Linked DNA regions of Oryzias latipes. The protein of the gene in region 2 purifies or fractionates together with the protein of the main gene of each other region. This does not show direct contact. Links are inferred from orthologs where the notes say so. Each region holds a gene or a part of one and is shown on either strand. Other genes may lie near its edges. The genes, in order: ccdc117 and stip1.

The links.
Region 1: the proteins of stip1 (region 2) and ccdc117 purify together in Homo sapiens (affinity purification with mass spectrometry; 5 studies listed by BioGRID and IntAct, counting the BioPlex papers as one, with this or other methods). This does not show direct contact. The link is inferred for Oryzias latipes from reciprocal best matches to the Homo sapiens genes STIP1 and CCDC117.

The regions. Positions count from the first base shown.
Region 1 is NC_019867.2:12,561,642-12,565,565, reverse strand, and holds the start of ccdc117 (coiled-coil domain-containing protein 117), read right to left. Parts: upstream 2,384-3,924; 5' UTR 2,035-2,383; intron 1,784-2,034; 5' UTR 1,762-1,783; coding exon 1,619-1,761; intron 1,536-1,618; coding exon 1,488-1,535; intron 1,408-1,487; coding exon 1,144-1,407; intron 1-1,143. Other genes in the region: transcobalamin-2, read left to right, coding at 2,997-3,063, 3,468-3,657, 3,755-3,924. UniProt on the Homo sapiens protein: Facilitates DNA repair, cell cycle progression, and cell proliferation through its interaction with CIAO2B.
Region 2 is NC_019872.2:19,986,627-19,990,547, forward strand, and holds the start of stip1 (stress-induced-phosphoprotein 1), read right to left. Parts: upstream 3,049-3,921; 5' UTR 2,933-3,048; coding exon 2,924-2,932; intron 338-2,923; coding exon 128-337; intron 1-127. UniProt on the Homo sapiens protein: Acts as a co-chaperone for HSP90AA1. Mediates the association of the molecular chaperones HSPA8/HSC70 and HSP90.

The DNA.
Region 1 (3,924 bases), on a different chromosome or scaffold from region 2:
CAGTTTTATTTCACACTTTCATTAAAGGGCCTATATCATGTAAAGATCAATTTTTTTTTAGCTTTTAACTGTATTATGATGCTCATTCCTCACTAAAAATAACCCCAAAGCGGTATTTTCATTCAGTCACGCATCCTTTAAAAACTTGACCACCAGCCCCTCCCAGTCCACGAAAATGTGTGAGTTTTCACATTCATACGTGTGAAAGTGACAAACAGCCCCTTCCAGGAAGAGTCCAGCACCGCCCACAGGCTAATATACACACCCGTTTTCTCTGCGGAGCTGGTCGTGATCTGCAAATCATTTTCTATGCACATAATGCACATCCATCTTTTAATAGTTTGGATGTTGTTTTTTGCCAAGGACGACTCTAAATTGGGCGGCACCCACAAGGAGCGAAAGGCGGAGCCTCACAGACTGAGTCATCTGACTTGCGGGTTGGAAAAGAACTCAGGAAAATAACTAATGTTTTATTTAAAAAAAAAGCATTATTTAGCATGCCAACGTTAAAATATTATCATATATATGGATATAGTTTCCTCTGAAGGGCTTAAGAAAAGCCATGATATAAGCGGCCCTTTAAAGGGGATCTCAGTTGCCGGGTCATAACTGGCTCATTTGTGGGCAAAAAGATGCTTTTTTCTGACTAAAAAGCATCTTTTTATTCATAAAAAAGATGACTAAGTAGAGGGTGAGGATAAGACAAGTCAGAATAACATTTGGGAAACATGTAGAGGTTTTTAAAATCCAGTCTACATTACACTAAGCAAAGTGGATAAACTCAAATTTGAAAGGCCAATTGGTCAACAGATAAAACAAACCAACTGCTGGAAAAGTACAGCAGTATTATATTTATATATATGCTTATTATACTAAGCAAATGCCACTTTCTGACTGCAATAGGAGAAAATCCTAAATAAAAACTACAGGAGACTTCACAAATCTAGGTTCTTAAGTAGAGTAAATATTTCTGAGCACACGGAGAATCTCAAGTTTAAACCATTATTAAAACTGGTTTTCCAACCAGCCTGACAAGCAATTTGTAAAAGAATTTCTGCTATTCTTCAGCAGTTTATCCATAAAATTTGGTTTACATGCTGCCTCTTGGAGGGTTGGGCATGGAACTTGAGCATTTGTGCATACCTGTCTTCAATCTCCTGCAGTTTTCTTTGAGTTGCCTCTACCTCCATGCTGAAGGACTCCCTGGCAGGCCGGGATTGGGGGCCGGACTGAGACACAGCTAAGCTCTGCTGGACAGAGCAGGACTGTGGAGGAGTCAGGAGAACAGTCTGGGCGCGTGCAGCATTGCAACCATTTGTTTGGGTCCACTCTTGAGGAGTCCTGGAGTTCTGTGAAATGTCCAGTTCTGCCTCAGACATGATCCTTCTTTTTTTGGCACTGCATCCTCTGAAAAATAAAAATAAATATTTCTGTTGGTGCACACTTTAGAATTTGGTCTTCATTATATGTAGATATATCTCACTTACTCATCATCCAGGATCCTGTGTTTTCTTAGACATCTCATCTCCCAGTTGCTGTGGTTTAAGAAAGAAAGAAAAAACAAAGTCAGAACAGAAAATGTAGAAACAAACAAACAAAAAAGTTATAAGGGACTCACTTGCTGGAGTTCGTCGCCTTTAGTTGGTGCTCAGCTGAACTCGGAGGTCTGAAGTCAAATTCAGGGAGGCTTGCAGGGCCTGAAAAGGGAAACATGGCTGGCAGAAGGCTCAGCTCCGAGCTGGAGGGAGCAGGCTGATGCATCAGGATCCACTTGTTCTGAGGCCTGAAGCGACACACGCAGAAACCACCACCTATTTAGTATACTAAGATAACCTTTAGTATAGTTTTGACCAACTGTGCATCAAATGCATTTACACACAGCTAGCTAGCATCGGTCTATTTAACATTTAGTTTATATTTCGGATGTTCTTATTATAACTTGTTAGCATCTATGACACACAAAAACGCTTTAATCATTCAACAAAAGAACATTTTTGGAAGAGTTGCGTAAAGGCAATGTTCAACAAGACTGACCTGTCAGTGTAGCTGCAATGCCTGCTGCCAATAGTTTATTATTGTTGTTAGGCTGAGCCTCCTCTGACGTCCACTAGTAGTTCAGTCTTTCATTTTGATATCCGCAAACAGACACTTTCCATTCTCGAGTTTCACTGACCGAATGAAAGAATAATAATAATAGTAAGGTCGAGCGGAAAATAAATGGCCTCTGTCTCTGTAATAGTGTCTCCACGAGAAGTAGGCTGGGTCAAAATACGTTAGCTACACATTCTGAAATAGAGGCACGCACTCGAACGCTCGTCAAGTTTCTAGAAGGTACGTAGTCTACGGTCGATGACAGTGGTGGATTGTGGGAAATGTAGTTCAGTTTAAACAAACCCCAACTCAACGCAATATAATATTAAAAAATAAATAAATAAAGCAAAATACGTCTTAAAGAAACCTTTTTGTGGCAATAAAAACAAATTCGATTATATTTTTCTATGCCAAATGTATAAATTGCGTGTCTAAAAAGTGCTAAGCGCTGAAGCAGAGGAAATCAATGTCCCGCCCCCAAACGTGCTCGATACCTGATAGGGTTACCTTGGCACGTGTGCAAAGCCAGTAGCCAATTAAAAAGTCTTATTGTCAACCAACTTTGTTCGTTTCCTGTTTATGTTCTCAAATGTTTTTATAGGGATTTTTTTTTCAATTCAGCTGACCAGTCATGTGACTCCGAAGAATGTAAACCGAATCACTTTCCGCTTCAACTTGTTTTCTCACTCCAGTCTGAGTCTTCTCAGTGGACACTGACAAAGTCAAGAAGAGCGTCTGTTGTGTTCAGGTCAGCGGCAAACCCTCTCTGCGAAACTTAATTGCACTCATCACTTATCCAAAACATCTTTTTTTATTATAGTAGCGTGACCTTTAAATTTTTTCATATATCTATTTTTTATTTTAGCGTTCTGGACAAGCGGCGAATGATCCATCGTTGATTCAGAATGCTCCGCCTGGTCATAGTTTTGGGCCTATTTGCCTGTGCGTTTGGGAAGGCATTAAACTTACACGGTAAGTAAATGAATTAATTAATACATAAAATCATTTTTAAAAAAAGAATCTAAAGGAACTGATTTGAACTGCTTTAAAAAAGAAGGAAGTTTAGTACTATTACTAGGGTATGACTCCACAATCTGGACATTTGGAAATGTTGCAATCATTTAGCAACACTCATGCACCTTATTAGGAGGAGTTATAGTTGTTTTAGTGCTTAATTCTGTAAATGCATATAAATATAATACCAAATAATTGGATAAAGCTTTTAAGTTCTTCCATACAGGTGCGGATTGAACCTTTTGGGACATTGCACCATAACAAAGCATATGAGATTTAAAAAAAAAAAAAAAAAGCTTTTTGTTTCTTCTGTTTTTTCCAAAAAAGCTTCATTTTTGTTTTTATCTGAAAACTGAATCCAGATACTGATGGAAACTACCGGGAACTGCTGCTGTCCCTCAACAAGCAGCTCCTTCACTCTCTGGAGACACAGGAAGGACTTCCCAACCCCAGCGTTCACTTAGCCCTGCGCCTCTCTAATTATCACAATCATGTAAAGGAAGACGAACACCTGAACAAACTGAAAAATGATTTGCACAATGAAATCCAAAGGTATTTTTCTGTCTGCACTTTCCCGAGTACATGACAAAAAACCCAGAATGTTTTAGTAATGTGTCATTGATGCTGTCTCATCCCTGTTTCCCTTTAGTTCTCTCAGGAACAACCAACCTGTAACTGGCCTCTTAGCTCTCTACAGTCTTGCCTTGAAGTCATCCTGCTATGATCTCAACACAGTCGTGTTCATGGTCACAGAGAAGTCGGAGACGCTGCTGGCTCAGCTGAAAAAGGTGATGGAACAAGAGAAAGAACATGTTGCGT
Region 2 (3,921 bases):
TATAGTTCCAATCACGCACCATGTGCAGAACTTTCCTAAAAAAAATATATAAGTGCGGTGATGCGGTTATCGTCACACCCCTACCGTTACATCCTTCAGGGTAATGAAACTGCAAAAGGTTGCTCACCTTTCCCCAGTCTGGCTTGATCTTAATAGTCTGGCAGGCGTCCTGGAGTGCGTTCTCATAGTTGCCCTTTTTGGCATAAGCAGCTGAGCGGTTGCTGTACAGAACATGGTTGGATTGGTCGAGAGCCAAGGCCTCCGTGTAGCAACGCACAGCTTCATCGATATTCCCTGCACTCAGGGCTTTGTTGCCCTGCTCCTTCAATGCTGAAATCTAGAAAAACATCAAAACCCAACATGCTTATTAGCACCAGATCAAAGTTTGCATACAAAAAATGCCATATAGAGGAGCTGAAAAACAGCCTAAGAACTGATCATGAAAAAACAAACAATAAGACCACAATGAATGGAGAATTTCTCCTTCATCTGTACAGACGAAATTTATCCACACCATAAAGAGAAACTCCAGAAACAGTTTAAACATCCATAACAGGGGCAAATGAGAGTAAAAGAGGCACAAATAAACAAAATTGCCCACTTAAAAATGTAAAAAAGCTATGAACATTGACGTTTGTGATGAGGGTATATTCAGTCTCCTAAGCATTGGGTTGCCTTGCCTTAAGGAGCAGATTAACCTGCTCTCTTAGTAATGCATTTCAGATTAAGGAAAGGCTTTTGGAAAAATATTAAATGTGAAACCAAGTCCAATTGACTGCTTTTTTATCAACCTACTTCTTTGATAGTTATACAAAAGGTTGTTCTCGTCACCAGAAGATACTACGTTTGAATGAAAATGTAAAAAAAATAACAACATTAAATCGATACTTTGTGAGATATAATGATTCCTGGTCCAACACATTAAGCTTGTAATGTAAAAGAAGTTTGCATTCCTCCACACACTGCACTTAATCCAATAAAACCCAATTGGGTAACTTGTGTCTTTTCTTTCGTTTCTGTTATCAGAGTTAAAATTGAAAAAACACATAAAGCTTCACACCAGCTCGCAGTCGAAGCTGTTCCCAACACCTTTGATAATAAATTAAACATTTGAAAAAATGGCCAGATTTTGCTTTAATTTCTAAATGGACTCAAAGATCTGTTCATAAACTAAATTTCATTACTTCAGACTGAAGTGAGAAGTCTGTCCAAAGAAACAATACATTTAATAAACGGCACAAATAGAGATGAGTAAATTCAAACTTTGGTAATTCATCGCACTGAAAAGGAAGAGAACATATCACTTGCAATGGTCCATTTCCATCTTTTCTAAAGTAAAGAGTACAGTCAGTTGTCATGCAGGTGTGATGGCTCTATGAAATTCATTCTTGTCAAAAAAAAGAAGAAGAAAAAAAAAACAAATTTTCACAACTTTACACTATTCTTCAGACCAAGTTCAATATAAGAGCTTTAAAATACAATTAGAACAGATTTGAAAACTTCTTTTTAGTCTATTTAATGAAAGTAGTGGATGTTGAAAACGTCAAATATGACTTTTTCAATGGGGGGTCATCCAAGAAGAGAAAGAAGTATTTTCTGAGCAGGTCAACTAAAATGAGTATGTCCCCAAGTTTTGTGAATAAACAACCAATGTTTGTGCCTGTTTGTCTCCTTTGATCAAATTTCACATTTAAAGTTTATGATCATTAATTTATCAATGCAATCTTTATAAGATGAAATTGAGAGGACTCATATTTCTATATTTGTGGGTTGATAACAAAAGTTTAAATACAGCTTAAGACCCATTACATCACATGTAATTACCTTTTGTAAAGTATTAATTACACGTGTGAATTCAAAGCTTACTGTTAAAAGACCCTTTAGGATTTAAATCATTTTCAGTTTTACAGACTAATTAAGTCACAACATGTAATTACAGCCAGATCACCACAGATTAGGGGATTAACATTAGTTGATCCCATGAACAACAAACGCTGGATATTAAGAAAATATAATTTTTACATGATTAGCATACATATACATATAGTTGCTAACGCTGTTGCCAGTAAATATTATTGCAATATTTATCACTAAATATTTGCGACAGGTTTGGAGAAAACGAGACTTTAAATTTTTTTTAGAGAGACGTTCAAATTGGGACCAAAATACTACAATTTAAAAACCGGAAAAATGCGCGACAATTTCCGACGACATGCGGCTGTAGCCATGGCAGCAGCGACCTGTGCATCTAGAATGATCCTCCGGTGTGAGAGCAGGCTACTTAAACATATACAGCCGATCGAAAAGTACTTAAGCGCTGTGTGCCACACTAGAACGAGAGCATATAAACTAGCAATCTCTAATACATACAAAAATATACAACTAGTTGCATTATGAACGTAATTTAAATCGTTATTTCGTACTTGCAATGTCAAAGATTTGCGAACTAGTCTGAAGCTACGAGGGTTAAGGATAAGCATGGGCAAAGACAGAAAAGAAATGAACCAATATGTATATACATTTTTTTTATAAATCAAACACGTTTAGTTCAAATTAGTGGAGTTTCAGTAGAATTTTCGTATCATGGCTAATTAGCTTAACTGGACACACATGCGTTGTTACCTGGAAATATCGCAAGACTATTTGGACTTTAACATAAAATGAAAATGTTTTACGGAAAACTCAAAGCTCAGCTACACCTTCCATTCTAAGTGACCACATTGAATGACGGTTAGCTAACATTAAGCTAGCTCGATGCATTAGCAAAGTGAATCTCTTCAAGCTAAGGATTAAAACTAAGACAATTTTTTTAACTACGATTTTTAAGAAAACTCGTTTCATCTCAACATTGCACAATTCTTTAAAAACCCATTTTAAATGTTTGTTTTGAAAGAAGAAGAAAATGCGATTACACGAGACTTACTTTCTCCATGATACAAGCATGAGGTACGTTCCAGAAACTACTGCGGACTAGCGCCTCCCCCTGAACACGTGCGGGTTGCCAGATTGTTGTAGAAGATCCGCAAACAGCGACGAACTCGCGTGGAGCCTCTGACGAGCAATATATAGCCTCCTGACTGAAACTTCCAGAAGATGAATTGGGAAAAAAACTCTCAAAACCCAGCCCTTGAAGTTTTACTCTCCTCTATGCCTAATGTAAAAGCTCAAATTGAAGATACAAGCGCATTCACTTACAAGAGTAAGAACAGAAGTCTGAAAAAAGGTTAAATTAAGCGTTTATATTTTGAGCAACACCAGCATCCACGTAACTATAATATTGAAGAGAAACTCATACTTTTAAATGTCATCACATATTTAAGGGTGTTGACAAGGTTAACATTTTTAAAATTTAAAACATACATGTTTAAATACAATAAATATTCATCAGTTTTACTTTGCTAATATTTTAACATTAATACGGAAATTTCCTTTGTATAAACAAAAATGCATTGTAGTGCTTTTTGGTCACTTTGGTAAAATATTGTGTAACATCAATACGTTATTTTCTAATGAATCACTAGAAAAAAACATTTAGGTAAAAAATATTTTCTTGAACAAAATATGTGTCAAACATTGTCACATTAAATTAAAAAAATGAATGAAACATAAATAAAAATCCAATAGAGGTTTTTTTAGCATTCATTTATTAGAATAAAACTCAAACAAAGGACAACATGATATAAATTTAGTATAATGGAACAGAATGGAGTAGAACCTTACTGAATAAATTAATATTTTAGTGTAACAAATTCACAAGTATCCAAGGTGAAGAAGAAAAAACAATGAACAAACAAATAAAATATAATAAATTGATTACAGAAAAGGGGTTTATTTAACACTCTTTGCCACCAAAAGAAACGTACCAAATAGAGGATGTAACACGTGGTATTGTATTTCACAAAAAAGGCAAATTGTAATGTG